3 linked regions of the Canis lupus familiaris genome follow. The protein of the gene in region 3 interacts with the protein of the main gene of each other region in a pairwise test. Links are inferred from orthologs where the notes say so. Each region holds a gene or a part of one and is shown on either strand. Other genes may lie near its edges. The genes, in order: HEMK1, NCK2 and CHN1.

Region 1 (10,603 bases), on a different chromosome or scaffold from region 3:
AAGTAATCTAGGGCTACAGTGGAGACTGTGGTGTCAGCGCTGAGGCCACATACTGAGCGGTTGATAGAATAGCTGAGACTTGTCAGTGGTGTGAACTTCTTTTGGTTTCCTGGCCACTGACAGACCTACTCTGGTTGGAGAATGACCTCTTGACCAGCCTCCTCACAGAGACACCCCTGACCTCAGAGACGCATACCACATATATGAACGGCCACCCCAGGCAGCATGTGAAGTGTAAGACTGGGCCTCCACTGCCCCCAGTGCCCTCTAATCCCTCTGTTACACTCCAGACCACTCGAGCATTATCTTAGCTTTGGGACCACCTGGGTGCTAGGGGTAGAGACCACCCGCAAAAAGTCCAGAAACTTTCCTCCTCACCAAGTGAAGAGCCTCCAGCCTCCATCAGCATGAAATTGGTGGCTCTTTAGGGGAGGCTGAAAGCCAAATGGTCACAGACCCAGGGCACCTCCTCCAGGTAAATAAGAATCCAAAACCATGATGGGATGGGGGATGGGAGAATGTGGGGAACAGGCAGCTTTTTGGCTCTACTGGAGCCACTGTCTCAACAAGACCCCAGACCCCCTCAAGAGATCAGCCAAGGCCTCAGCAGGACCTGGGATGGGGGATGGGGAAATGTGGGAAATAGGCAGCTTTTTGGCTCTGCTGGAGCCACTGTCTCAACTGGACCCCAGGACCCCTCAAGAGGTCGGCCAAGGCCTCAGCAGGAACTGAGTGCTCTGAGTACCCTCCATTAGGATCCTCTTGGTAGGCAGCCCCAGGAGGGTGGCACTATCTCCCGCAAGCCAACCACAGACAAGGCGTTGAGCCTCCTACACCCCACAGAGCCTCACCTCTCCAGGTTGGATAGGGATGGCTCACACTCCCAGCCTTGGGTTTCCCACTGCACACACTGGCAGGCCGAAGACTAAGCCACCCTACCACCCCCAGGGAAAGCCCAACTCATTGAGCCACATGCCACATACACCTTCACATTTCTGACTTCTGCCCCCGTTAACCAAAACTGCCTTTCAGTGGATGGAAAGAACATAGGCACCATGATCTCTCCCCTGCAACTCATTCTCCCTACTCCCTGCCACAGGCCACGTCCTTTCAAGTTCTTGGTAAAGCACCCCCAATGTGGCTTCACAATGGGGCAAACCTGGCAAGTTCTCAGAAACGTCTGTACAGTGAGGTAAGGACCTGGCCTCCCAACCACAGCCTCCCCCTCTGTCTTCCCTTTCCCCTCCCCCTTGCAGCAGAGCTGCTTTCTTGGCTCAGACCCACAGAGGAATGGGGGCCGGGGGGCCGATGAGAGCTGGAAGTCTACATCCGATATTCAGAACCCTGGAGCACATGGCTGGTGCCAGATCAGCCCTGAGGAGGACTCAAAGGTCATCACTAGTTTCCCTCCCCTGCCCTGACCCTTAGCAGCCTCAGAAGACTCTGAGTGACCTCCCAGCCAAAGTTCACATGCCTGGGAAAGACACTGGGTACCCTCCCAAGAGGCTACAGGTGGCAGTTCACATCCTGCTCTGGATCTCTGCACTCCATCCCAACTCATCCAATCTCAGATAGAGTAGCCCCATGGGAAGGATGGGGCCCCGACTGAGTCAGGAAGTCTAAATGCTGCCCCTATGCTCCTCCCCTTGGCAGCCCTGCGACTTCAGGAAGTTCTCATATTCCCTACTGTCCCTCCCAACACTGGGCCGTAAAGTGAGGACCTGGCTTCTCAAGCACATGATATGGAAGCGAATGGGGTCAGAGAGTTTCTTGGCTCGGGGGGAGAGGCTAGGAAAGTGAGGAGGGGCTCTGGGTCCCTTTTTGGGCAGGTGAATGAAGCCTGATCTTTCCCGGGAATGGTTGTATGCCTGGGTACGTTTCAAGAGACACCCCTGCTCGGAACCTGGTGCCTTCTTGCCCATCAGCCCTATCCATCTGCTCTGCTCTCTCTGGCTCCCTACAGTGTTAGGGGGAAACCCAAGAAGGGCCACAGGGAGCATCTCTCCCAGAATAAGGGTGTATCACCAAGGAATAGCACACTGGGGCCACACAATCCCTATTAATAGTAACATGAGGGACACAGGTGATTACCTGACCAGACAGTAGATCTAAGAGGACCAAGTCAGATTCCCTCCCTAGGCTAGAGGCCCTTAGGTCACACAGCTGTACCAGGCCTCTGGGTGTCCTGCTGGAACACTATCCATTTCACCCATGCTTCCTGAGAAGGAAGAGGGAATTTTTTCCCCCACCATGGATTGGGTAGGCCAGGCCTGGGACACGAGGACAGTCAGGGAAGCCAGCAGGAGACCTCTGTACTCTTGGCCCCTCCTACTCAGCCAACCATGAGACACCAGTAGCCAGAGAAGGCCTCTGAGGACAAAAATCATGGGGTCCCAGCGCCCCCTGGAGGAAATATGGGGCAAGAAAGGTGCTCAAAACCCCACTGTTCTTATCCATGCTGCCCTGCCCTGGTAGCACACCTACCTCAGTTTCCGGGCGAGGAATGAACACTGGGGGGGCCATCTTCAGACTGAGCCCTTGAAAGTCCCATTCACCCAGGATGTACTGCACAGGCATCCTGCAGAGGGGGCAGCTGGGTGATCATCAGTGCCAGAGCCTGGACCAACAGGACCACGACTGGGTTGAGAGATACCCCTTGCGGGATACCAAAAATGTCAGGGTCATGCTTCCTGTACCCCAGGACTCTGAGGCAAGGCATTCCCTCCTTCCCTTCTACTTGCCTGATCCCCCTCTCATCCATACCTTATACCAACACCTCCCTAGTCCTCGGATACTTTCTTCCTCCTGACCGTGCATGAGTCGGCCTGGTGGAAACCAGACACCTGTTCCTGACAGAGTCCTCAGGTCTGGCCCATGGGTGCTCACCTTTGCAATCGGCGGCTACTTAGCTCCTGGATGCACTGCAACTGCCAAGGGGTCAGGGGCTGTGTCCAAAGTTCTGGCCTCAGGCTCTGAAACTGCCCCACAGAGAATGTGAGTGGCTGACTCCCCAATCGAGGGCCTGACCCAGGTTTATGTGAACAATACCTGTGGGCCCAACACCAACCCATCCCTGGACCCCTACTGCCTGACACACACTGTAATAGTTCATTGGATGAATAAATAAGTATCTACTAAAAACATTCCTCCAGAAAAACCCATCACTCTCAACTCAGCATTCTCAGTGGGGCAGAAATGCCTGGATGTTCTTCCCTAGGTCTCTCCCTCCCTCCTCTTCTGCACTCTTGACAATACTGCACTTAACTGTTTTGGCTCCAAGGACATGAGCCACGATGTACTCACTGGATGCCTGGGCCTCAGGGATCCCCCTCTTCTCAAAGACTGCAGTCCAGTGCCTGACCAGTTCTTTGGCATTCAACAACCCAGCCAGAGGCAGATGGGGTTGCCATGAGCTGAAGGCCCAGCCCCTGGTCCCTCCCCTCCTCCCAGGGCCAGACAGGAGGGCCCAGAGCATTCGGCCCCCAAGCTCCATATCTTGGGGAATGATTCTCCTGAACACTCCCAAGTCCGTAAGTCTTCCTTGTGATGTCAGTTGCCAAAGATGGTCATGGACACTGGTTCCTCAAGGTGGTTCTGCTCCAGATGTGACTGCTGCCCTGGGAGAAGGAAGGAGAACCAGGAGAGCAGCTGAGCCTTGTGTGACCCACTCCCCTCTGACCTGCTGCCTGAGACAGAGCATGCCCTTGCTCTGCTAACCTCAATCCCATTTTAGACCCTCACCCATCTATTTCATTCTTCTCCTCTGTGACCAGTTATGTCTTCTTCATGTTTTTAGCTGAAGTGGGCTGAATCCGGAGCTCAGTCCCTGGCAATGCACCGTGGCCTAGGATTGAGGTTTGAACAGATCTGTTCCACCTAATGTGTGTGACCTTGGGAAAGTCATTACTTCTAAGTTCCAGTGTCCTCCTCCATGAAATGGGGGGACAATAACACCAACTCCATAGCAAGCAGTATATTATACAATGAACGTCAAGGGCCAGGAACCAGTTCAACACACAGAAGGCACTCTGTTGCGTGCCCTTAACTACTTACAAGAAAGAGAAGACTGCCTTTGCTTAGGAGCTTTGCTTTTGACATTTTCTTGTACTGTGACTGACCTGTATGCTAACCCCCCGCCCCCGCAACCCCCGTCTCACCCATAATCCTAAACATCAGGATAAACTGCCGCCTTAAAAAAAAAAAAAAATTATCACTTTTGTTAACTTTAATTTGTCACAAAGTCTAACAGAAGGGTTAAAATTAGTGGTTCCCCTGGGAAACGAACTAGGGGTGGTGGAAGGGGAGGTGGGGGGGGATGTGACTGGGTGCCGGGCACTGAGGTGGGCACTTGACGGGATGAGCACTGGGTGTTATTCTATATGTTGGCAAATTGAACACCAATAAAAAATAAATTTATAAAAAAAATAATTAAAAAAATCAAATTAGTGCTTCCCTTTCCCTTGGCACAGACCAAGGTCCAAACTAGCATGTATTAATAGAGCCCCTGCTGGGTGTCACATCTCCAAAGAGAACCTGAAAGAGAAAGGAGGCTACAAGAGGGAAAGCCACTGGCCTACCATCACCTCGCTAGACGTGTCCCACGCAGGACACAAACCCAGGTCCCCCGGACTTCAGAGGCGGCTCTGCCCACTAAGCGTTGCCCCAGAGGCGCCCGAGGTCCGAGGTCAGGGACGCAGCTGCTTCCCTCTCAGCTCTGCAAGGCATTATTAATGACCCAGGCGACGTCGCCTCTCCCCAAGCCCGTTTCAGCATCTGTATAACGCGGGGGGAGGGACTCAAGGGTGTGGCAGTCCGGGGGCCCCGTCCCGGTTCCCACTCCTAGCGCATACCTGCCTGGAGGCTTCCCCCCGCCGGCCCGCCAGGCTGCGCAGAGGCCGGGGCTCGGCTCCCGGATATGCCGGACCCGCGCTGCGCCGAGCGTCGGAGAAAAGGGTCGGGCGGACCCGGCCGCTCAGCTCCAGGGTTCCTAGCGCTCCTGGGTTCCGCCGGGGGAGCCCTGGGGACGCTGCAGCAGCCGCGCGAGTCACGCCCGCAGCCCCGCGGGCCGGGGGAGTGCGTGGATGTGCGGGAGCTGGCTCCCTGCGGGCCGCGACCGGCGATTCTTCCTGAAGGTCACGGAAGGGACGCGCTCGCAGCCCGAGGGGACTACTCCGAGCTGGCGTTTGGGTACCCGGCCGCGGCGGCGGGTCACCAGCCAGCTCGGGTTCGAGAACCGGGGCGCCGGGTCGGTCCAGGGGCGTGGTCTAGCGTAGCCTCCCGCAGGCCCGGCAGCACGTGGACGGATTCCAGGGTTGGGGGCGGGACCCCGTGTCCACTACTCGGCCGAGGAAGCTGCCGGAGCCGCGCTGGCGGCCGGGTGGCCACTAGACCCCAGGACCGCTCTGGAGCCTCTTGCTCCCGGGTTTCAGGGTTTGGGGCAGGAAGGTTCAAAACCGAACGCCGGAGACCTGAGTTCGAATCCCGACCGTTGGCAGCTCACTCTGTGGGCCTCAGCTGTTCCTTTTACAAAATTCATGACAGTGTCCCACCAAGTGTGGTGCCGACGCCCTACCCCATCAGAATCTGTTGTTAAGTAGATCACTGTTAACTGATGTTAAACATGCAGTTTCCTGGACTGGGTCCCAGACCGGAGGGGAAGGGGGGAGGGGGGCTCAGGGATCTCCTTGGTAACAGAAGCTTCTCCGGTGATCCCCATAAACTCCTTTGAAAACCCGAGGATTAGAAGGTATCTGAGGGTCCCTCCCCTGAGATTTCGCGCCATAGATGGGGGCTATTGTTAGGGGTATATGTAGTCTTGCTTGTGTCCGGCCGACCAATAATAATAATAATAATACCAAAGGCTCCCAACTTTTCTGGACTAAGCTGCCCTATTTTTAGCCCGAAGTGGGTGTCGTTTACCAAGAGCCCTCTCAGTAGAGCCCTTCTAAGCTGGAAGCCGAGCCCCCGGGAGGGGAAGCTTGTCGGTCAAGGTAACAAAGCAACAGAGGGGGGAGCCAGAGGTCAATACAGATCCGAGGACTCCCAGTACAGTGCTCTCCCCGAGCCTCCAGCATCCGCCTGCGTCCTGGGAGCACGAAGCCATCGGCGGAGGTGGAGCTCCGCGCGAGTTCTGGGGCAGGAAGGGCTTGGCCACCCCCACGGACCCCCACCCGACCTCGGCGTAGCGCACGGGTGGTCACGGGTGGTCTCCAAGACCCGAGACCTTGTGTCCGGCTCCTACTGGGGGCGGAGCCAGATCCCGCGGCGGGCGAGAGGGCCGGCGCCCGGCAGGCTGTGGGCCTGGCAGCCAATCGGGAGCCGGGGGCGCGGAGCCGGCGGGGAGGCGAGGCGCCGGAGCGCGGGGGACCCGCGGGGCTCCCGGCCTCGGCCCCGCCCCCGCGGTGGGTCCAGGCCCTGCCTGCCCGCGCCCGGCGGCTGAGGCTGGCTGAGCCGGCGCTCGCGGCTGCCGGCCGTGCGCTGCAGCGGGCCCAACCCGCGGCTCGGAGCTCACCCGGAGGGGGAGGGCGGACGCGGGGTCGGCCCCGCCGCCCCCCGCCCCGGCCTCCTGCCGATCGCCAGCACCCCTAGCCTTTCCGGCTGAGCTCGGCGCCCCAGAGAGGATTAAGTAAGTGCTGAAGCCGCAGCTTCTGTGCAGGAATGGAGGAATCACCGAGTCGCAGAGGCGGGGATGGGGATTGGAGCAGGGAGGACTGAGGAACCTGGCAGACAACGGTATGCGGGTTCTCGAAGGTCGCGGTGCCAACCCATTTCGCCCGTTTGGACCCCCTTCTCTTGCCCTTTGGACCCCCAGGCAGTCCCAGACAGTGAAGAGCAGGGCCTTTTTCTCTGCTGTGGACCCAGGAATAAACAGCCCAGAGCAAGAGTTAAGGGTCAGGCCCAAGGTCACGGTTTGGGGTCAGAGGCAGAGCCAAGAAAGAACCTGGGACTGCTGTCGCGTTCAGCCTAGCCAGAGAGAGAGGGCAGAGAAGGATGAACCCCCACATCTCCCTGCCCACCTTGCCCCTTCCTGAGGAGCAATCATTAGTGTGTACGTGCCTCACACACACCCATGCACCTGCACAGGGAGGCACCCCACAAACCCCCATGAGCTAGTGCAGGGATGCATGTGTACAGCCAGGAGCTGTGTATCCCCCCTCTCCCTAGGCCCCGCCCTTCTGCACCTTGGCTGGGACCCTGTCCCACCTGGCCTTACCGGGGGCCTTCTGGCCTGGGAAGATGTAAGCCACACCCTGGTCTGGGCCCATCTCTCACCCTCTGTTCTCAATGGCGGAGGGTGAGGGAGGAGAAGCACCTCAGAGTGGGAGCCCCATCCCTGCATGTGAATATATGCTCCCTGCTCCCCTTGTCTCCCTTGTCCCTGGCAGCCCCTAGCTCCCCATGGAGGTCCAGTGACCCTAAGAGCCTGCAGGGAAGCCCTGCCAGAGGACCTGACTTTAGCTGTCTCACCTTCCTGCCTTCTGGTCTCTCCATGCTTACCATCCACCCCCCTCACCCCTGTTCCACAAACACAGCTTGGATTACACAGTGGGCTAGGTGGGGAGCTCCTGTGGCTCCTCTTCCCAAGCTCCAAGAAGCAGTTGGTGGGGGGGGGGGGGGGAACGTCTATATACTGGGTACTTACTGTGGGCAGGGGTTGCGCTGAGCTAAGTCTTTGCTAGGGACAAGTTCATTCTGACATTTCAATGACCTTATGACCTGTGAGGCTGTGAGGGAAGTGGGGTATTGTTTGTTTGTTTGTTGTTAATCTCTACCTAAAACCCAGGAGATCTGAGACCCAAGAGGTGGAGTGACAAGCCTAGGGTCATCTGACTCTTGGGCAAACGTTTCCCTCCTGGAAAGGAAAAAGCTGCAGTATTTTTTTTTTCCTCCAAGAAGGAGGTAAGGGATATGGGGGGGCAGGGAGTGAGGAGGTGGGAAATGTGGGGAGTAGAGGGGTGGAGAAGTGGGTATTTTGCAAGGGAGAGACTTTCTTTCAAATCTCCCGACTACTTTTCATATCTTCTAAGTATGATCACTATGGTTATCATACCCTCAAAGAAGGGGCAGGGCTTCATTTTCACCTTCCTAAATCCACGAGGGAGCTATACTTAAATAAAGCATATGTCCTGATGTCCCCTGAACCTGCCTTTGCCCTCAAACTTTTATTACCCCAGTACCTCCAGAACTTGGGGGTACTTGATGTCACCACTGAGTCCTGTCCTAAGCCTCATGTTTTTCATTCTTTTCCAGCACCCAGGGGGCCAGGGAGCTCCTTTTCTCCCAGGAGGTGGCAACCTGCAAGTATAGGAAGGGGCCACGGGCTGGGACACCACTGATGTCAGAAGCGAGTTGGCAGGTTGACTGACCACAGGCAGTCGCTCAGCCAGGGCCCTGTCAGTATCAGCATGAACTCCAGGATCCCCCCTGCCCGGGGCTGGTTTAGCAGTAGCCCACCCACCTCTGAGCCTGACCTGGAGCCTGCCACAGAGGGGCCAGCCTCCGAGACCACCACCCTCAGCACAGAAGCTACCAGCTTTAATGACACCAGAATCCCTGATGTGGCTGGTGGCACAGCTGGCGTGGGCACAATGCTTCTGTCCTTTGGGATCATCACCGTCATTGGACTGGCTGTGGCCATGGTAAGAGCTGAGAGGCTGGGGCTGACCCAGGTGGCCGCCAGTTGGAGGAGCATGGCTGGTGTTTTGATTTTAGATACTCTAATCAAAAGAGAATCGTCTGTGAATGATAGCACAGGATTCCCCTTCTCCAGGGATTTGTCCACTGGGGATCCAGAGACCAGAGGGGCTACCTCCAATTGGAAGAACGAGAGAGGGTTCTGAGGATACATGGCAACTTGAGCTGGGCCATGAGGGCCACGTAGGAGTTGAGGAGGAGGGTGTTCCGGGTGAGGGTCCTGATGGGCAAAGTTTGGAGGCAGGCAGGAGGTTCTGTGAGCAGCAAGCAGGACAATGAGGCAAGGGGGGGAAGGGGTGTGATAGGAGTAGAGGCCGGAAGGCGATGGGAATAGATCATGGGCCCTGGAGTGTGCCTGGGCATGGCAGGCTGCTGGCGGCGTTTATTCACTTGGCAGGGATTTCCTAGGCCCCTGCCCTCGACTGAGCCTTCAGCTCCCTAGGGACTAGGGAGACCAAGTCCTGCCCAGTGGTTCTTCTGGGGAATAGGAGACAGATAAAACCAAGGCTGCCAAGGGAAGTCCAGAGGGACTGGGTTGGGGAATTGAGCAGGAGGGCTTTCCAGGCTGGGCCGTAAGGGACAAACTAAAGAAGCAATGTTAGAGCTGAACCAACCCCAAAGTGGACCCCCAGGACCACAGGAAGGAGCAGAACTGGGCAGACCTCAGGATGGAGGGGAGCTGGGGTGAGGACTTGATGATGGATATAATCTTTCCAGATCTGGTGCCTGTCCCTGCAGATATGGGCGCTCCCCCTAATCTGCCACATGGATGCTCAGAATGTCGCTGAGGGCCTGCTGAGGATTGTGCTGGCTGAGACCAGGAAGGGGAGGATGTGTGCCTGAGGTCCCCCAGTGGGCTGACAATGGTTGCATCCTGTCCACTGCTCCTCCAGGGCTCTGATGGCTGGCCTCAGGCTCAGGACCATGTTGCTCTGGCAAATAGGGCTGCGGATGGTCCATCCGTAACCTGGCTGGAGCTGCTGTTAAACCAGGGTTGCCATATGGGCCCTGTCAGCTCCGGATCGCTGCCAGGGGACAACTGCTGGCCAGTGAGCAGGGCCAGGATGCCACACGCAGAGCGAGCGGCCTCCTGGGGCGAGGGTGAGGCAGAGCGCCAGTGTTTCCCCACAGCCCCGTGTGGCTGTTAAGCAAACTGAAACAACCTTACCTCAGGGGAAAAGTGGGGTCTGGAATCTGCCCTTGTAACTGTAGGCAAAAGATTGTGTCCGGGAACTTGGGAGGACTCCCTTATGCTTTGTTCTGGAGGAATTTTCAGAGCGCCAGAGTAGAGGGCCTTCTTGCCCAAACCAGATGTGGGAAGATTATGGGACCAAAGCAGTGGAGGGCAGGAAACAGCTCCTGGGCTTTAGGGGACAGGTCCAAAGATGCTCCCGAGTGCTTCTGCCTCTCGCCTCATGCCAGCCCCCAAGTAGGGCCATGCTGGAGACAAGGAGGAGCAAATGAGTGCCAGGCTGTGTGCCTCAAGCACACAGAGCAATATGAGTGAGCTTCTCAGAGGAGATAGGACCGTAGCTGGATGGTGAGGGGTGGGGAAAATTTGGAAAGGAAGGTATGTGGGAGTATGTCAGCAGTTGAGGCAGAGGGAGCAGCAGGGGCAAGGCTGGAGATTGGATAAATCTCCGGCCTCTTGTGAAGATCCCTCTGGAGAACAGGGCCTTGGGACAGGGAGGAGAATTTGGGGCTGGGCCAGAGTGGAGGGAGAACAGGGAGTCTGGGTGCTGGGCTAGTGCCACTGGCTCAGAGCAGGCAGGGGCTAGGCCTGAGACCTGGAGCTCCTCCAGCATCCTACCCACAGGAGAGCATCCCCTGGAGGGAATGGGGAGCAAGGGACACCTCAGTTTCTTTTCGGGACTTTGGGGTTTCCCAGGAAACAAGCAACAGGAGGAAC
Region 2 (10,424 bases), on a different chromosome or scaffold from region 3:
CACAGCAACAGCAGACCCAGAATGGATGGCTTTCCCTCCCACTTTGCTCTTCACCCAGGGCCAGGAAACACTTTCTTTGCCATACAAAACCCAGTGGGCGCTTTCCCTATATCTGATATTTTATCATGACCCTAATCCAAAAAAACCTACCTATACTGAGGAGAAGCATCCATAAATGCATCAAGTCAGCACTGATTTCTCTCCTTAATCGTCCTACCTAGAACCTAGTCAGCATCTGGAAGCCCAGTGCCAAGGATCCTTCCCCATTTTGAGGCTGTATGACAACTAATGAGCTACCATCCCCTCCTTACCTCTGCCCTCTAACCATCCCTGGCAGGTGTCCTCAAATAAGCAGTTGCTAGATCTGGGTGAAGGAAGCAAAAGGACTTCCTACAACAATCAGCCTTGTTTCTGAACACAGAGTTACACACTGGTATGAACTGAACTCCCCCTCCCCCCCAATATGTTGAAGTTCTAACCCCCAATGTGACTGTATTTGGAGACAGAGCTTTTAAGGAAGTAATTAAGAGTCAGTGAGGTCATAAGGATGGGGCCAAAATCGCACAGGACTGGTGACCTTGTAAGAAGAGGAAAAGCCACCAGAGTCTCTGCAGGCAGAAAAGAGAGGACACACAAGGACACAGCGAGAAGGTGCCCTCCTATAAGCCGGGACGAGAGACTCACCAAGACCTGAATCTGCCAGCACTCTGATCTTGGACTTTCCAGTTTCTAGAACTGTGGGAAAGAAATTTCTGCTTTACGGACTGTGCGGTACCGTTACAGCATCCAGAGCAGACTGATAGACATAATAAGCAAGAGTAAGCACCCTGTTGCAGACTTCCACAGCCATGCCAGCTCCTGGCAATGAGGCAAAGACAAAAGTTCACGGAAACTGCTCACCGAAATGGTCTCCTCTGAAACGGCTCATCTTCAAAGAATCAACTCACACCAAGAATCTGCTCCCAAGCACTATTTGTTCACATCTGCAAATGGCAAAGGGATCCACGGCTGCGCTACATGCCTGTGGATCAGGAGCCTCACAAAAACGTCGATGCAGCACCTTCTGGTGTTCCTTATCTACCTCCTGCTTAGCAGGGCCACAGGGCTCAGATGGCAAGGACTTACCTCAATTTCGAGCTCTGGTCTCCTCACACAGAAATAAGGACTAGAGCCCATTTTACCTTGTTATTTTTTCAAATATTAAATAGGACAGCACTGCTGGAAAGCAAACTGTAAACTATAAATTAATGCACGAGTATTAATATCGATTATTTTTATCTGACTATGGCACTTTGGATCTTCACTAACCACTAACCAGCCGAGCTATCAAGAGGAAACTGCAGTATTTAAATTGTTAATATACTTGAAGTTTCTTCCCTTAAAAACATTAAAAATATGAAGGGGATGAAAGAGTAAGGTGGTGCTAACGAACTAAGCCAGGGTAACAAATGCTTTGCCCCAAGTTTCCAGTTGGTGTTGACACCCACAATCTACTGAAAAGTACTATATAGAGCCAAGCCACCAGGTGGTTTATGCAACTGGATTTGTTTTTTGTTTTGCTTTTTGTTTGTTTCGTTAAGTTTAGCTTCAGGACTATAAATGATTCATGTGATTGAGAATTTACTCAAGAGAGAGGCCATCAGACCACATTTGCCCATCCTAGGGACAACACCTTCCACCATGTCACAGGTTCTGAGCAGAATGTACAAAGATTCTGGCTTTATATCTCAGTGGGAACCTAGAGCCCTAATAACTCAATAGGCTCAGAACTCAGCATTCATGTGTTCGGTAAGAATTTACGGCAAACCACGTGTTTAAGATACAAACACAGAAACCACAGGGCAGATTGTGACACGTGTGTGTGTGTGTGCGCGCGCGAGAGGGAGAGAGAGAGTGAGTGTGCGCGTGTTGGGGGGGGTGATATAACTTGCTAATGTTGATTACACCTTCAGAAGTATACATACGTTTGGATCTGTTCAACGTAAAATGTAGGAAAGGAAAGAACAGTCTAATTGTTAAAACTGTGTTACTAAAGTGACCTAAAGAAATTGGAAACTATTTTTACTTTAGCTGCATACTTTTGATAACCGGTTAGAGGGCTGTCTTGGCCTCCTTCTAAGTCACCTGAATTCAAGCACTGAACATACATGACAGCATTTTTAGCTTAGGCCCTTTGAAAATATGTCATGAAGGGTTTCCATCACTCATCTGAGAAAAGAGAAACAATTTGGAAGTGCCATTTGCTATCCCTCTGGACGGGAAAACTAATTCCCTAAGCCTCTGGGGTGAGTGGTGGGGAGTTTCCAGTTCATTTGTGAAATAAAGTTCAGCTTACTAGTTTTCCCGAACACTGTACACTGCCCTCCCCCTGCAGATCCAGCAATTTTCAGCTCCTCAGCTAGCCAGCCTTGTTCTGAATGATGGAGAACCCTCTCTCCCCCAGCACACGCTGCAAGTCAGTCTGGGCAGTTAGAAGCATGTGTATCCCGGAGAGCAAAACAGCCTCATTTAGCCAGGGCAAATTAAGCTAATGCAAGTTATCAAGTAAAGGACTCCAGTTATTCCAGGCAATCAGGGAGTCTTTGGGGTATTTCAAAAGGTTATCTAGTTTGTGCACACGCAAAGAAGATTTCCGGTGTATTTAATATGGATGATAGTGCCTTTCTCAAATACTGTGTACATAAGATCGGCTGTCAGTTGGAAAACCTCAATAATCCCCCAATGCAAATGACAGGGCAGGGTCACAGATTTCAGGGATGAAGAGACGTAACCATGGACCATGTCACAAAGCAAAACCCAAAGCCTGGAAACTGAGCACAGGCTATTAGAAATGCATCTTACGCAAGCCCTACCCATTTAAAAAGGGCCAGTTTTGGGGCGCCTGGCTGGCTCTGTCCAAGGAGCATGGGACTTTTGATCTCAGCGTTGTGAGTTCCAGCCCCACATTGGGTGTAGAGATTACTTACAAACAGAATCTTTTAAAAAATCAACCAATCAATCAATCAATCGGGGCCAGCTTTCCCACGAGTGGGCAGAGGTGGGTGATAGAGCACTCAGTTCTACGGGTGGCAGTTTGTCACCCAATTTCATCCACAGTTCCCATGATCAATACTGTTGTGTGTTTAGGTAGCAGCTGAGAAGCTCCGAGCTGAGCCCAGGTGAGGCCTATCGGAGAGGAAGCGGAGCCAAGCACCTCCACAAGCTCCCCGCCGCTTAAAGTTTTCAATTTCAGCCTCCAAGTAGCTGCAGCCAGAAGACCACAAACATCCGGTCTTTTCCTGCCATCCAAAGTACATCTAAGTAACCTCAAAAGGAGAAATAATTAAGGGAGGATTTTCCCATGTTGGTCACTGCTTCACTAGCCTGATTAACACCCATTTCTCGGGAAATCCCTGTTCCAAACACCGAAAAACCTCCATCAACAGCCCCACCTCCCCAGCCAGTCAAGCCCATCTCTTCTCTGCGCGTCCGCTGGCGACCATTATTTTCATAAAACGCGGCACATGCCTGAATCCTGTTCACTCACCCACCCACCCAGGAACGCCTGGTAGGTGCGTTAAGAGAGTGTTCAGAAGCAAAGTTTAGATCTGTTTTGATTAAGTTATAGTAGCCCTGGTTAATTTCATTTTCAGTCGTTCTAAGACTTGCAGAGCAGGGCTGCTAACGATATACCAGCAGTGGTATGAAACACACCCGAATTACTCTCATTCCTACCCAAATCCCTTCCCAGAAGCCAGGGCCTGAACCAGGGAGGGCCTCTCCTACCTGCAGGTCTGGGGCTAGGCCGTGCCCGCTGGCCTCCGTGGTTCAGTTTCTGTTTGGTTCAACGGAAGGAGGGGGCCCAGCGCTGGGGCCTGCTCATCCCCTTATACAGACACAAAGTTGGCAGATTCAGCCTTAAACCTGTTGGCAAAATAAACGAAAACAAATAAAGGGGAAACTGCCAACCGCAATTGTCTGAAGTGACAGAGGCCTACTGTCCCCGTCCCTGCCCCGTCCCTGAAGCCCTTACAAAGCTCGTGAAGAGTCAGGTGCCCGGTGTTCACCAGCCGCCGCGCCCCGCATCCCCCGCAGACCTTCCAAGGCGATCGTTACTGTCCACGCACGAAGGCGTTTCTGCAAAGTAGACGCCTCCACGCAACGCCACACTCGGTGCGCTCACGGGGGAGGTGCCTTCAGTGCCTTAAAACCCAACCACACGCCGGTTTCTTCCAGAACCACTTGGTGGTTAGATCGCCCCGAACACACCGGGAGGCCAAGCGTCGTGAGAAACTTTCTTCCAGGTGCGGGAGGTCCTGCCCATGCGGGACGCGGCGCGGAGCCTGGCACCGTCCCCGGGCCCCGCGGCCCCGCGCCCAGGCGAGGGCCTCCCCCACGCGGCGTGACAGCAGCTTTGTGCGGGGTCAGGAGAGTTGCCATAAGCACAGCAAGTTCTCCGGGCCTCCCGCGGCCTCCCGCGGCCCCGCGAGCCGCGGCGCTTCCTCCCGGGGCCGCTCGTCCCCGCGCCCCCGCGCCCCCGGCCCCCGCCCCCGCGCGCCCCGGGTCCCCGGTCCCGGCAGCGCCGCCCTGCCCCCGCGCCCCCGCGCCCCCGCCCGGCCCGGCCCGGCCCGGCCCGCACAGGGGGGCCCGGAAGGCGGGCGCGGAGGTGCGCAGCCGGGAGCGGGGGGCAGGCCGCGGCGGGGCCCAGGGCGGTGCGGGGCGCCCAGGGCACGGCCCCCGCCCCCGCCCCGCCCCCGCCCCCGGGCGCGCGCCGCCCCCCGCGCGGCCCAACTTGGCGGCCCCCGCCCCGCGCCCGCCCGCCCGCCGGCACCGCCTTACCTCCTGCGCCGCCCGCCGAGCGGAGGGCAGCGGCGCGGGTCCCGGGGCGGCGGCCGCACCGCGCCCGCCCAGGCGCCGCTCTTTGTCTGCGCCGCTCCCTCCTCCCGCCGCGCGGCGGACGCTGCCGGCCCGGGCGGACCCCGCCGCCGCCGCCGCCGCCGCGAGCCTCCCGCCGCTCCCGCCTCCCGCCGCCCGCCGCCCGCTCGGCCGCGCGGCTCCGGCCTGACGATCCCGGCGGCGGCGGCGGCGACCCTCCCCCGGCGCTGCGCCCGCCCCTCCGCGCGCTTCCTCCTCCTCCTCCTCGCGCCGCTCCTCCCCGGCCGCGCGCGACCCCGCCCAGGGCCGGCCCGGGCGAGGGGGGCGGGGGGCGGGGGCCCGGCTCCCACCTGGGGCGGCGCGGGCGGGCGGCGGGCGGCGCGGGGACCCGGGGCTCGGCCGGGGCGCGCGGGGGGCGCGGGGGGCGCGGGGCGCGGGGAGGGCGGGGGTCCCGGCTGCCCGCTGCCCGCTGCCCGCTGCCGGCTGCCCGCGCGGGGACTGGGGCAGCGCTGGCGGCGAGCGGACGGCAGGGGAGAGAAAGGCAGCAACTTCCAGCCCCCAGTGACTGCCGCGCGGCCTTTCCATCCTCTTTTTGTTTGATTTTCTTATCGCGACGCTCTAGTTGTTTGGCGGCCGGCCCCCTCCCGGAAGCATTCCCACGGCACCCTCGGCAAGGCAGGCCTGGGGTCCATCAGAAAAGTGACTTACATAAAAATGTCACTTCCTCTCTGTAATTGCCTCTGGGCATTTTTATTTATTTGCCTTGTATCTATTTACTTTCCCAAACAGACACTTTTGTACTCCATCATTCCCGTCGGAAGCACTTCTTGAGAGCAGAGAGGACACGCGGCCCCGCGCCGCCCCGCCTGCGGCCCAGCCCCCCGCGCCCACCCGGCAGAACCTGGCAGGCGCTGCCAGCGGCTGGGCCCCTCCCCGCACCCCCCCCCCCCCCAGGCCTTGTCACTACTAGTGGGACTGGTCCGGTCACCTGGCCACACGCAGGGACTTACCTGTAAACAAATTCGGAAGATTAAAACCCTGGAGGAAGGGGAAACACAAGTTGTCCTCTAACAGGCACATGCATCCAGCTGCCTGTGCTCCAGTCTCCTTCCCACACGGCTTCCCAAAAGGAAACCCGACTATTCAAGTGATTCTGATTTCCTGGCGGAATAGCCTGGATCCATGTTAATGAGATTCTTTCTTAGGCTCCTGGCTTCTCATTACTATTAAGGCAATAATAACTTACCCAAGGTGACAAGGCTGAACCATTGATCCTCTGCCTTGTTCACAAAAGGAAGTATCCAGGTTGGGTAACCAGAACCAGTATACCTTTGAAGTCACAGTACAGCCTTTGACTATCTGCTTTTTCAACTGCGGAACCTTGCACAGGTGTTTCTTAACCGATCTAAAATTTAACAAATGGAGAGATCGTGTTTACCTAGCTCCCATGTCAGTCCCTGGCACCCTTCCTGCCTGTAGGGCACACTCTGTAGGTCACTAGCTGGGAGTAGGTACAGTGTACTGAGCAGGGACGGATCCAAGATCAGGGAATCTGGATAGCCTCCTTCTCTTTGCCCTTGGGGAAAGAGCTGCCTCAGTTCATCCTTTTGTCTTACTAATAAGGAAGGCAGAATTATAATAAATGGTCTGACCCAATTTTAAATTAGTTTACCCAAAATCCATATAATAACATTGACCCAGTTTTTAACTTGTCTGCTTTGTAAACCATCACTGAATCACCGTTCTTGAATTCCTCTTCCTTCTTCCTTCCTTTACAAAGGTAGAGTCCCCAAGGACATTCTCTATCTAAAATCCAATGTCGCTTTCTTAATCTTTATCCTATGCAGTCTTCAGAAGCACGTGGCATTTCTGCTATTACCTGAAATTCAGTTATTTTCATTTATCTAACACAGCTACCCTTCTGAACTTCCTACATCATTCTCTTGGAGAGCATATTGACCTCTAACAGTAATATTCCTGATGCAGAATTTGGCCCCTTGTTTTTATAATGATTTGTGCCTTTTTTGTTTTTTTTTAAGAGAGTTGATCATTTTTTTGTATGCCTCCAGTCTGGATGTTCAGTGATTAACTCTCAGATCTGTAGCCTTAGAGAATTCCCCAGATTGTCTGCAGTCTCTCTGGGCAGCTCATCATCTCTTCAATATCACCAGGTTCAGAATGAAATTTATCCTCTTCCCAAAGTAGCTCCTCCTCCCACGGTCTCAGGCTTGGCCAAGAATCCACCAGACATCTCAGCTCCTTGGAGAAACTTCACTGCAATCTCATTTCTTCCTTCCTTCCCTCTCTCCAAGATCTCCCCAAAGGCAGTGAGGAGAGAGTGCAAGATGACCTTGGGATCCCTCTCAGTCTAAATCCTCATGATTCTGAGTCCTGGTGCTGTTGAAACAGCTCTTTGTATCTTCTTTTCTCTTTCCAGTGACACCATCCAAATTTTTACATTGTTACTGATGACACTTATGAAACTTCTTTTATATGTGTGTGTGTGTGTATCTGTGTGTGTATAAAATAATTATATATAATATATATAATAGTATCATGTGTGAGTTACAGGTATACATATACAGAGTATTATCCTCATATACATATAAAAAAAATGGAAACAGTAAGTGAAGGAACTGGGGTCAGAACTAAACATACTTGACTTCGAAACTCGTGTTTTTTCCAGTACACCCCATTGCCTTCCAAGTAGCCTCCTGTTGCTCACTTTCACCCACCTCCCAAATTTTGGGGTATCATTGTCATAGTAATCTTCCTAAAAATTGCTTCTATTTTGTCCTGCCCCTGCTCAAGAAATAACCATGACTCCCCATGGCCTACCACAGTTCCTCAAGAGTTCTCTGACAGCAGAAGATGAGCATTTGCTCCTGAGAAGGCTGAGGAACTGAGCCTAAGAGGCCTATATTCATTTCTTGGAGCTGTCTTTTTTTGTTTGTTTGTTTCATGAGAGGCAGAGACACAGGCAGAGGGAGAAGTAAGCTCCCTGCGGGGAGGCCTATGCAGGCCTCCATCCCAGGATTCCGGGATCATGACCTGAGCCAAAGGCAGACACTCAACCACTGAGCCACCCAGGTGCCCCTCCTGAAGCTGTCTTAATAAATTACCTCAAATTGTATGGCTTAAAATAGAGGAGTTTATTCTCTCAGTCTTCTGGAAGCCAGAGTCTAAAATCAAGGAGTCAGCATATTCTCTCAGAAGGCTCTAGTGGAGAATCCTTCCTTGCCTCTCCCAGCTTCTGGTATCTCCAGGCCTGCCCTGACCTGTGGAAACATTACTTCAATATCTGCCTCTGTCTTCCCATAGCCTGATCCCCTTCTCTCTTGCCATTGGATTTAGAACACACACACACACACACACACACACACACACACACATGCACGCACTCATACCCTGCCACCATCTAGGATGATCTTAAGATCCTTACCTGATAACAGCTACTAATACCCATTTTCCAAATAAGATCACATTCACAATTTCCACATGAACATATCTTTGGGGGCCACCATTTGACCCACTGTGAGACCCAACATGGGGGAGACGTTTCTTTTCAGCTGATGCTGTATCTGAAAATGTATGTCTCCGCATTCCACTCTGTTAGTATGCTGTTAATATTGAAATGTCTTCCATAATGAAATATTGAAAGTGAAAAAGTACAAACCTTGGGAGCCTGGGTGGCTTAATCAGTTAAGCTTCCATCTCTTGGTTTTGGCTCAGGTCATGATCTCAGGGTTGTGAGGTCAAGCCCTGCACAGGGCTCTGCACTGGGTATGGAGCCTGCTTAAAATTATCTCTCATCCTTTCCGTCTTCCTCTCCCTTCCTCTCCCTGTCTAACAAAAAGAGAAAAGAAAAAGTATAAACCTTTCCCTCCAAATCATTTCAACGTTAAATCCTAAGACTTGTCTTTCTAACGGTTCTTAAACTTAGTCCTACCACAAAAATCTCATTGTTGACTCTGTCACAATCTAAGCTATTTACTCTGGTCACTCTGCTCCCCACCCTGTGTCCCACTTAGTCACACCAATTTCTACTTTGACCATATAGACATAGGAAGACATTTCTCACCCCACTCTTTCTTCAGAGCTCCATTCAGAGACCCCTCGTTAGACTCATGGGAAATCCAAGGTAAAGTTGAGGGTGTTGGGTCAGACTTCAGAGGCATGCAGCCTGCCTACAAGCCCATGACTTAAGATCATTTAACCTCTTTGGGCCTCAAATAGTAATAACACTACTCTTACAAAAAGCTGTGAGAATAAGTGAGATAATGTAAACATGTTTCAACTGTCTGTCGGCACATGGTAAACACTTGTATCAGCTTTTCTATGACCTTCTATCTTAACATTCAATTTAATTAAACATATCTTGTATATGTCTATTTGCATTATAAGAGATAATTCAGGAGAAATAAAAATAAGTGGAGATTTTAATCTCAGAGGAAGGATAAGACCAGGATACAAATAACTCTAATATAAAACTAAATATGAAAAACCCCAAGCAAAATATGTTCTGGGAGTCAGAGGAGTCTTTAGATTTCATGAAAGGTGGTAGCATCAGGAATGGACCTTGAGAGACCTTGGTGGCCCTCTAGACAGCCCCCTTCCTGGTTTTAAGGCAGCCCCTGGCTGACTGTGGAGGGGAGCAGAGTGGGTTTCTCCATCTCTTCCCTCCCCAAAGCCCTGTAAGAATGAATGGTCTGAAATTGACCAGTAGAACCTTCTCCCTCAAGACTTTGAAACTGAAGAGGGTGACAGAGGGGAGGAAGAGGAGATACAGTTTGCTTTTACAGGAAGGGGTCCTGGAACCTCCTTACAGAGGCGTTAAGCTGCTTGGTTCTCACCCCTTCTCCCAGCATCTCCAGCCCCACTGCAAGCTACTTGATATTCTTACCATAAATCCCTGTTCTGTTTAAGGCCACCAGAGGCACTTCCCCTTCCTGTTACCCAAACCCCTAAATGACACAAACTATAAGAAATTTTTAAAGATTTTTAAAATGTTACTTATTTGAGAGAGAGAGAACACAAGCAAACGGGAGAGGCAGAGGGAGAGGGAGAAGCAGACTCCCCACCAAGCAGGGAGTCCAACATGGAGCTCCATTCCAGGACCCTAGGATCATGATCTGAGCTGAAGACACCATTTATCTGACTGAGCCACCCAGGCATCCACAAACTATGAGGATTTTGAAAGTTAGAGACAGGGAGGAAATTCCAGATGGAGGAAACTTAGAACCCTGAGCACAGAGGGGAAATGTGGCAAGATTCCATGGCAACAGGGAATGCCCCTATTTGCCTCAGTGGAATGGAGGATGCCAGCCAAGGATCCAGGGGAGGTAAGACCAAGGAGATATGGTTATTAAGTGTGGACATCATGGGAGCTTGGTCGCAGGACAACTCATTTGGCATGCAAACCAAGGAACACCTGGAGGTAGGAAGAGTGGTGTTATGTTTGCATTACTCAGATGTAATAATTCAAATTAGGGTGGAGTCAATGGAGGAGCATCAGTGCAGGGGAAATTAAGGGGAAAGACAAGGAATTGACAAGTGATCAGATATGGGGA
Region 3 (9,813 bases):
GGTTTTAGAAGAAGTAAAGCAAAATCCCAAAGGCTATTCCTTATACATATTTTCATCACTTTGTACCTCTAGACTGAGTTTTTTTAGTACAATTTACTTCTAAAAAACAGGGTGGTATTAAGGGTTTTGTTCACTTTTTAAAGCTATATGTTAGGATTATGTATTTTGAAATTCATCTGAATGCAGCTGGGTGCATTAAACAGTTCTTTAAAACATGAAGACCAAAACCTGAAATCACTGGAGAAAAATACATTTCTAGAAAGTGGTAATTATGTATTACAACAGTAGCAGTTCAAAGCAGATTATCCCAGTCTCTCTTCTCTATTTGTTAACTATAGTACCACTTTGAAGAAAATGAATTTTGTTGAACTCTCTAGGGGAGAGTTGGCCCTGTACAGCTTCAGATATGTTCACCAAAGAGTGAACAGCTATAAAAAAGCAAAGGCAAATGCAGATAATAAATATAAGAAAAAAATGAAAAGAAAAAATTTCCTATAGAAATGGAGGAAAATTGTTTAGCCTTAGCAGTTTTTACAAATCAGTGCTCTGTAGTGTGAAATTCAACTCTCATCACCAGATCCACTTAACATGCCCCGCGTTTAGTATGACTACATTGGCTGACCTTTCGCCTTTGAATTCCAATACCTGACTCACAAGCCACAGTGCAAAGATACATTGCTTCTCTTTTCCTCCCCTCTTTGCATTCTGCTGTAGTTCCACTCTGTTACACCAGTAATATAAACTTATTCAGGGACATCTGAAAAAATTCACAAAGAGGTCATCTTTGCCATGTGTTGACTATAAAACCAACCAGTGCGGAGATGTTCCTATACAAGTTATTTGGATTACCAGTTATTTATTTAGCCTCCTACAATGCATATTTATTCTCTTTTCTGTTTTACTTTATTGTTTGATACATGTTCTGTCATTCTCTGCAGAGGCCTAACAGTAGGAGAAAGGGAACTACAATTCATTGAACCTAGTATATGTATTTAGCTTTGACTTAAATATGTTTATGTAATCCTCACAACCAGGTAGAGAAAGATGATGTGATTCCTGTTCTCTAGATGCAGAATCTGAAGAAGGATTTTCTCAAATCACTCAGCTTAAAAAGTGGCCATTCCAGGATTTAAACTTATTTTGTCTGGTCCCAAAACCTAAGGTTTTCTGTTAAACACACAGGACCCACATTTTGCCTTTCTTTCCCTGGTCAAATCTAATTTCAAGGCTGCAAGGGCGCTTTTGTACTTGGGACATAAGCAGTAGTTCTGAGACCTTATTTAAGCAGGGAGTTCCTCGGTTTTCATATTGTGACAGAGACATTGGATTGACTTGCTTTCACGAATCACTGCAAAGAAATGTACCTTTTCCATTTAAGATCAAGGCTATACACATTTTTATAATAATTTTTTAGAAATCAAACTGAAGATAAATTCTTTAAAATTCAGCATTTCGGAGCACCTGGCAGGCTCAGTTGGTAGAACATATGACTCTTGACCTTGGGATCATGAGTTAGAACTCCACATTGAGGGCAGAGTTTACTTAAAAAAAACAAAAACAAAAACAAACATAAAACAGACCTTTAAAAATAAATAAATAAAATTCCATGTTTCATCTTGTGTTTCTATTGGCTTGTTTTTATGTATATCTATTTCCTATTGAGGTAATCAAGGGAACAGGAACTTTATTCTGAACTATCTGGGTGTGTTGTTAAATGTTGCATAAATGACAGTCTGTAAGTGGCAAACTTTTACAAGGATGAATTCTTTCTTCGCCCTTTAGATTTGGCATCTCTCTTTTTATGGCTCTTATTTGTAGACGAGACACATCCATTCCCCACCCTCCTCAAAGATTTTCTGTCATGCCTTTCAAATCACAGAAGAGAAGACAACTCTGCCGGTCTCTGCTGTGATGCTGTTCTTTATGTAACCTCCAAAGTGAAAGAGAGGGCGGTACAGGGTAGGCAAAGAAAGCATACAGTTCCTGTAGTGAAAATAATGCAGCTTTCTTAGAAAAAAATCAATCCTAATTCCAAAATGGAAATTCATTTTCTTGTCCTTTGAGGTTAAGTTTTAAATCAACCCATATTATGAATTACTTTAGTTATCTGATCACCTTCCTTAAGACTTGAAGTTTGATTGTACCTTAAGCCCAAAGCTGAAGTGCCAGCTGAGGAAGAATTGGGAATTGTATGTAGGGTTTCTTGAAGTTGCTGTGATAAAGAGAAAAGGACAAACTTACTTAGTCTTTTTTGCCCAATACCTAGAGGTAGCCAGGAAATCCTCTCCTTGGTTGGCTTAGGAATAGACCCATTGTGAAGAGGGACCCATTGTGAGATCTGCTCTTTCAGTCTAACCATCCCAACCCACATGAGGCTATGCCAGCCATCTTTCCTTCTGCCCAACGTTCCCATACTGCTCAGATTTTAGAAGAAATTCAAGTGACAAATGCCTTCCACCACTGCTTGGATAGTCTTAAGTTTAAGTGTCATATGCACTGTAAAATTATAAGGCTCTGAAGGAGTAAAATGGACTATTCCTTCATTGAAATGCCTCTGAATATAATTGAAATATAAAAGGACTTCATGTTAAACAGTGTTATGAGTGATTATTTTAAGAATCTTATAAAAATTATAAAATGGCTCTCCATGTTTATTTCTCAAAAGCAGATATATATTAGCAAAAAGGAAATTATAAAAGCAGCATATTAAACTGAAAAAAAACTTTTACATTTAATTTTGGTGTAGAAATTTTACCTTCCAGTTTTTTAGACTTTCATTATAATGAAAATTTACTCAGGAGAAATTTATAACATTACAGGAAAGTGGAGAATGGGAAATTGGAATTATATGGATCATTCACCTGAGTATAAGTCAAAATATAATTGCTATTAAAGAACCAAAATGTGGATAAATTTTATTTTAGTAGAAGGGCCATCATGATCATAATGCCAGGTTGGTTCTAGATTATCTGTTCTGGTTTGTTGTTGTTCTGTGTGTTTTTAACAATAAAAATAAATACACTATTTCTAATTTGTTTAGTTTTTAATTAGGCTCACTTGAGACCACCTTTGGGAAACCATGATACTGGCTGTTGGTGCCTGTTGGCATCAGCTTTCATAAAGTCAGGAAGCAAAATACTGAAATTATCATAAAACTAAAGTCATTATTCTCCAGTTTTTAAAGTATGTCACCAAAGCATGACCCAAAAGTGAGAACAGGAAAAAAAAAAAGTGAGAACCGAATATCTATAGTCTAGTAGTATATGATTTCTATGCCCTATATATATTGTAGATATTTCTTGTTTAGACTCAACAAGGAGACACAGAAAAATGACTCTGTAATAGGGAAGAGCAAGTCATTGACCCATGGCTAGTAATCACAAAAATATGTGTCTGTCGCTCTCTTGCCCTACTCTATGGCTCAGGTTCTGGAATCAGCTCTACTTTAAATGGGTTGCTGGCATCATACTTAGGTGAGCCCTAAAGGGAGCTTTCCCATTAAAAGACATGAATCATGGGGTCCGTAGTATGTTGAATATTTTTATTGATGAACTTGAAGAGAACATGTTAATATAGAAATTTCATCCATGATGGAGTTGACCAATTGAATATAGAATGTGTTCTAATAGGATATGGGCTTTATTTTCCTTGTTTTTCCTACAGGATAATGAAGTGGTTTAAAAAGACAAACAAGAACATTTTTTTCCTTCTAGAGGAGACATGCTTTTGGCTAGTTATCCCTAGTTGTTGCAAATTCATTCTTTGTGTTAAAAAGTTTTATTTTCTATATTCCAGACGATTTATAGAAATTAGCCACAGTTTATTTAACAAAGAAGACACACACAAACAAAGCAATAGTTTTTTTTTTGTTGTTCTTTTTTTCTTTTCGGAAAGAATTCAGTTGCTTACTTTTCTTAAAAACATCTTTCCCATTTCATTGAGGCAGATTTGGAAGTCAAACCAGAAACTTCAGGCTGTACTACGATGGAAAGCACTTCGTTGGGGAGAAGCGCTTTGAGTCCATCCACGATCTGGTGACTGATGGATTGATTACTCTCTATATTGAAACCAAGGCAGCAGAATACATTGCCAAGATGACGATAAACCCAATTTATGAGCACATAGGATACACAACCTTAAACAGAGAGCCAGCATACCAAAAACATATGCCAGTCCTGAAAGAGACACATGATGAGAGAGATTCTACAGGCCAGGATGGGGTGTCAGAGAAAAGGGTAAGCTACCATGAAACCACACTTGATCTTCTTCTGTTCGGGGTCTGTATGAAAAAGCCATGACTGCCAGAAGAGGCTGGCTTCATAGAGCTTTGAAAAAGATGTGCATTTTCCTTGATGTCTGGTTTCGTTGGTGCTGAGCTTTGCATATATCTAAACCTGGTTCAGTTATGTCAGGTAAATGCTTGTGTTCCCTATTATTTCCTATTTCATCAGTTTCATGGTTTAAAACTATGCTGAAAAAAATGCTCCCTAATTAAAAAAAAAAGTTCAGGGCTTTGGGTTAGAACCATAACTGTGGTCAAGAAAATATAGCTATATCCCATCAGAAATTGAGGGGGTCATGTAATCTATCAAAACTGCCTTTTCATTCCCTTTATAAATAGTTCTATTCTTTAGCAAAATGATAGATATCCACACTTTAAAATACATAGGATTAAATTTAGTCTATCAATAACTATTACACTATTTTGAGAATCAGTCAGTCCTGAGTAGCAGGAGCGTTTGTCTCCTGCTGGACTCTTATGAAGTAATTGAATCAGAAGATTTATTTTAATTATAAAAGACAACTTAAGTTTTTCATTTGGCATATTTTATAACATATTTAGTTAACATTAGAAGTTTCAAATCCTTAGCATTGATATTATTTTACTTTGAAAATTGTCCCTACTTGCCTCCTTATCCCCAAGAAAATGAGTCAAAGAATTTCCTGATGTTTTATTGTGTAGGATGTAGGTAGGAGAATTTTATGTATTCTAACTAGAATTGTGTTGATCCATTCTTATATTTTTGAAACTCTCCAGTTGCCATGTTAAAGAAATGCAGTATTACATAGTGCTTTGAGCTTGGATTGTGTCATCAAATAGATTTGTGTGCAAATTCTGCCATTTTACCTGTTGTGTGAGCTTACTTCACGTCACTTAATTTCTCTGTGCTTTGATGTTCTTATTTGCAAAATGGTAGTAATCAAGTTGTGAGAATTGATTTAAGGAGATAGTATGTGTTAGATAATCGAACAGTGATTGGCACATAGTAAGCACTCGAGTTTGGTGGTAATGTTACTTTAACAGCCATATTACCTCAAGGTGTAGTATCCTAAAATACTTCTAGTTGTCTTAAAGTTTTTAGGTACAGAATGGAAACCTAAGATGTTCATTGTCTAGCCTGAATTTTAGTTTTTGGCAAATCTAATTCAAAGTGGCACTTTGTGGGTACAGAGAAACCAACTTTTGAAATTACAGATTACAGAAAATGGTTTTCATATTTGTTAGGAACTCAGATCTTTTTTGGAAGTAACTAGAATTTAGAATCCTAAAAGCATGCTATATTTAATATTGTTCTTTTCACTCTCTAATTCCCATTTTCTCACTTTTGGTTATTTTCCATTCATGGCATCTTTCAGTAATGCTTGCATTTAAGTATCTCTAATACTGAAAATATGTTTTATGCAACTATGATAAACTGTTCTAAGTTAACATTTGTGAAATATTTTTATAGTGTGTGCATGTGGGGTTTTTTAGAGTTTATCGGCCTAATGATAACCTTTGTTAATGTGTTCTGGATATCCTTTTCAACATCAAGAGACTTCCGCTAACAACACTTAGCTATTTCTCATTGGACTGGTCGTTTAAACTCATAGGATCTTGGTTGTCCGTCCTACAAAGTGAAAATAGTATTCACAAAGGAAAGACACTGAGATAGATAATGCCTAAAGGACCCTTTTAGCTCTAGGATCCAGGATTCCCCGTGTATTCTGGCAACATTACATGTTAGATTGCCTGGATTGTCTTGTGCTGATGGCCAGTGATAGCCACATAGAGTGAAATAGCTGGCATTGGGAACTAGTTCTCTCCAGCAGTACATAATTAAGAATCATTTAAAAAATTACTCTTTGCTTTAAACTGCATGCATCTTAAATCTAGTTGGCTTAAAATCTACTCACTCAAAAATAGATTTATTTTATTTATAGGTGTCATCCAACAGGACAGGGATGATGACCTGTTCAAGAGGTGAAACATTGATTCCCTGTCACAGTTGATGACATTTGTAAGTAAAGACAATCGTGTTTAATTGATTTAAAATATCTCTTGCCACTAGTATGGTTTAGTAAATATTTTACTGGGTCCTGAATAGCTAAAGCCCATTTGTCCATGAGGGGCTTGCCTTTTCTTCAGAGGCAAAAAGTGTTGATTTTGCAGGAGTTAGTACACTGTCATAGAAAGGTTTCTGGTATTGGAATTAAGAGCTAGATTCCAGTTTCTACAATAGGAATTGATTTTATGTGTCACTTTGGGCGAATTGCTTTACTTTTCTGAGACTGTATTTCCCCACTTTTAGCAAGAGAGCTTTAGACTAGATGATCTCCAAGATGTGGTTCTTGTTCTAGTCTGTGATCCTTCAAGGAGTGTAGGTGTACAAGAAAGAGAGAACACAGTACTAGAAACAGCACCATACTTGGGCCTTGAAAGGGGAGATCTATTTTTAGCTTATCTACCAATTGATTGTATCACTTTGGGACAATCTCCTAACCAGTCTGGACTGCAGATTCTTCATAGATAAGGGGTTTTCTATAAGACAGTACTTTTACAAGATTTTCATTATAAATACTTGCTGCAAAAAGGGCTTTGTGCTCAAATAGGTTTGATTAAAAATAAAGTTGTTTTTTTTTTTAACTTACCTGTTCCTTTTCTGTGGGCTTCTCAGTTTTGCTAATAACCTAGTATGTATTATGACTCTCCTAGAGTGTTCCCAAACTCATCTGGATCGCCCTGCCACTGTTCAGAAAATTATTTAGGAAAATAGTGTTTTCATGAAATCCACTTGGGGAAATTCTGAACCAGATGATCTCTTAAGATCTTTTCTTGTTCTAAAAATCGAAGGATAAAAATTCCGTGTGGATTTTTTTTTTTTTTTCTTCAGTACTTAAGGTGTAAGTTGAGCATCTGAGCTTTGTGGATGGTTGTCAGAATTGTTTTATGGCCAGGAAGTTTTTTGCCAAAGGAAATGAGACCTGAAGGTTCTTAGCTGTCTCTAGGAAATTTTGTGGCCTGCTGTGAGGGGAAAAAATTTATTTTGAGAGACATCTATGTCATTTTTTTCATTAACTGTTTAAGTTGCTTCTCCAGCTTGAAATATCAGAAATTTAAAATTATTTTTTAAAAACATTGAGAGAAATTTAATCATGAAGTTGTAGCATGTTGAAAAGCTGGACTTCCTTCTCTTGTAAAATGGCTTAACTTCAGCATCCAGACTGGCCATGAGCCCAGCTTTTATTAGTGGCTTTTTCAAAATTTATCTTGGAACTGTATTTGAATAGTTTCTTTTTCCAAGTTGTCAGTATAGTATGCTCGCTTCAACAGATACTGGACCAATGGCTGAATGCAACAGTTTTTATGATGATTTTATACTTATTAATAATATAATTTTAAATTCTCCAAAGCCATGCTTTTAAAAATGGCTCATAATGTTAATAATATAAACTGTCAAATATGTAATTTGCATTTCAGAAACTATGCTATGAGTCAGAACTCTGAATCTGGCAAGAACTTCTTTACTTTTAGATTTAGTCTTTTAAGCCCAAAACTTTCTCACATATAACAATGACCTGTGATGACAAGGGTGTGAAAAATCCATTTATTGGTTTTATGGAACTTTACTAGGCCAAATAACCTTTATGTGTCTGTGTGTATATGTATTTTTCTTCTCCTGGAAGTTTGAGATGGTTGCAGTGTTTTGCATACTGTCATAATAATTTATTCTTAAGGAATTTCTTTTATGTTTAAATTCCACTTTTTAAAGACTTCTTTGGAGAGCACCAGACTGCATATGTATTGAAAGGCCTTGTAAAATATGAGGTTGAAATGTAATCAGGGCCTTGCCAAAAAACTGCCATACCTACTGGAATTCTCTGGGTACCTCTATGAAGTGATAAGAGTCTATGTCCCTGGGAATGGTGAAAGGAGCACAGGAGGTCCTGTCTGCTAATTTTCTTAATTCTCCCACAAAGCAACCTTTCTAAAAGTCTTTACTTTGCTTTATATTTATAAAATATAAATATATACATTATTTATGTATTATTTGTATCCATATAATCCTAATGTAGAAATCAGCAGAGAACCATACTTCAATTTCATCATTACAAAAGTAACAATATAAAAAACTGTTTGAATTCTTGATTCTCTGCTTTCCCACTTTGTAAGACCCATCTTTTCCCCCTTCCTTATTCCTCCCTAACCTGTGCTCCTCTTGTTCATCTCCTTTCTAACCCTACCTTATCAACATCCATCGCTCTCTTCCTAGTCAAATTTACATGCTCATGTTTCCCCTGTGGCTTGTTAAGGTTTGGATCGGTCATTCCAGGGGTGAACAGGCCCTTGGAGAACTGCCAGATGTGCCCAGGGTCACCTATTTATATTAAAAAGCCAGTTTAATAATTTATGAGGGAGACTACAGTTACTGTGCAGAACTTTCATAGTGGGTTTGTCCTCTGTTAATATCCTTCTTAAGACTCAAGTAGAGTAATGGGGTTCCTGGGTGGCACAGGCAGTTGAGAATCCAAGTCTTGGTTTTGCCTCAGGTCATGAGTGCAGGGTCACTGGATTGAGCTCAGCATGCAGTCTGCTTGGGTTTCTCTTGCCCTCTCCCTCTACCCCAACCCCCTGTGCACGCACTTTCTCAAATAAATAAATCTTAAAAACAAAAACAAAAAAAAGAAAGAAAGAAATCAAGTAGAGTTTTTAAAAAATCCTACATAGTCAGTATATAAGTATATATTAGTCTGTGTGGTCTTGAGCAAATCCTAAATCTCTCTGGGTCTCAGTTCACCTCAATGTCTAAAAGTGCTTCCATATAACGCCACCACTTGGCTGGCATTATATGACTGTTGTCCTCTACTTTGCACACATAATGAACTTAAAAAGAGAACAGTTTAAAATAAAATTTATAAAATAAGAATCATGTAGTGTTATATTGTACCTAATCAAAAATAAAATTAAATGCCTATATTTTGTATTTAGCCTATGGTTAAATAACATAAGGATATTTTTTTAAATAAATAGTTTTATATCACTGTTTTAAAAAAATAAAAAAGGATGTTTTCATTGCTTGAAGTGTCCTCCAGGTCCACAAGATAACATCAGATGGTTCCTAATCCCTTCATCTGATAGTGAAGTTTCTCTTGTAGTAATGCTGTGATACTTCTAATTGTGTCTAATCTGGAGGCCTATGTCCTCATTTCTTTTCATCTCCATGAACTAACTCCTCTCCCATCAAAATTAATTGTGTTTAATTCAACATTTATTGCGTGCCACCTGTTTGTAAGGAAATAACCTAGGCTCTGGAAGGGATGAAAGATGTACAACATATAAGCCCTGTCTCAAAGAACTTACATGTTAATGTGTTCATTGTTTCTACCTTATTTAATTAGCACTTAGGTATATTGATAGCAAGAAGCAACCTGCCTATATAATCTGTATAGTATTACAGTTCAGTAAGTATTAAATTGGATTTACTCTGATTTGAGTTTGCTTCTCTAAAAGCCCAGCAGATCACAGAAAACACTTTTATAGACAAACACTAG

What was found.
Region 1: the proteins of CHN1 (region 3) and HEMK1 interact in binary tests that used the Homo sapiens proteins (3 or more experiments, as listed by UniProt). The two-hybrid records come from large-scale screens. The link is inferred for Canis lupus familiaris from reciprocal best matches to the Homo sapiens genes CHN1 and HEMK1.
Region 2: the proteins of CHN1 (region 3) and NCK2 interact in binary tests that used the Homo sapiens proteins (3 or more experiments, as listed by UniProt). The two-hybrid records come from large-scale screens. The link is inferred for Canis lupus familiaris from reciprocal best matches to the Homo sapiens genes CHN1 and NCK2.

The regions. Positions count from the first base shown.
Region 1 is NC_049241.1:39,200,524-39,211,126, forward strand, and holds the start of HEMK1 (MTRF1L release factor glutamine methyltransferase), read right to left. Parts: upstream 5,003-10,603; 5' UTR 4,851-5,002; intron 4,715-4,850; exon of another isoform or gene 4,578-4,714; intron 3,845-4,577; exon of another isoform or gene 3,742-3,844; intron 3,618-3,741; 5' UTR 3,494-3,617; coding exon 3,266-3,493; intron 2,979-3,265; coding exon 2,887-2,978; intron 2,618-2,886; exon of another isoform or gene 2,579-2,617; coding exon 2,485-2,578; intron 1-2,484. Other genes in the region: C20H3orf18 (uncharacterized protein C3orf18 homolog), read left to right, coding at 8,406-8,639. UniProt on the Homo sapiens protein: N5-glutamine methyltransferase responsible for the methylation of the glutamine residue in the universally conserved GGQ motif of the mitochondrial translation release factors MTRF1, MTRF1L, MRPL58/ICT1 and MTRFR.
Region 2 is NC_049231.1:38,780,819-38,791,242, forward strand, and holds the start of NCK2 (cytoplasmic protein NCK2), read right to left. Parts: upstream 6,211-10,424; 5' UTR 6,101-6,210; intron 5,980-6,100; exon of another isoform or gene 5,865-5,979; intron 4,886-5,864; exon of another isoform or gene 4,819-4,885; intron 4,397-4,818; exon of another isoform or gene 4,013-4,396; intron 3,904-4,012; 5' UTR 3,766-3,903; intron 1-3,765. UniProt on the Homo sapiens protein: Adapter protein which associates with tyrosine-phosphorylated growth factor receptors or their cellular substrates. Maintains low levels of EIF2S1 phosphorylation by promoting its dephosphorylation by PP1.
Region 3 is NC_049257.1:19,184,167-19,193,979, reverse strand, and holds part of CHN1 (N-chimaerin), read left to right. Parts: intron 1-3,946; coding exon 3,947-4,235; intron 4,236-6,257; exon of another isoform or gene 6,258-6,272; coding exon of another isoform or gene 6,273-6,281; intron 6,282-9,813. UniProt on the Homo sapiens protein: GTPase-activating protein for p21-rac and a phorbol ester receptor. Involved in the assembly of neuronal locomotor circuits as a direct effector of EPHA4 in axon guidance.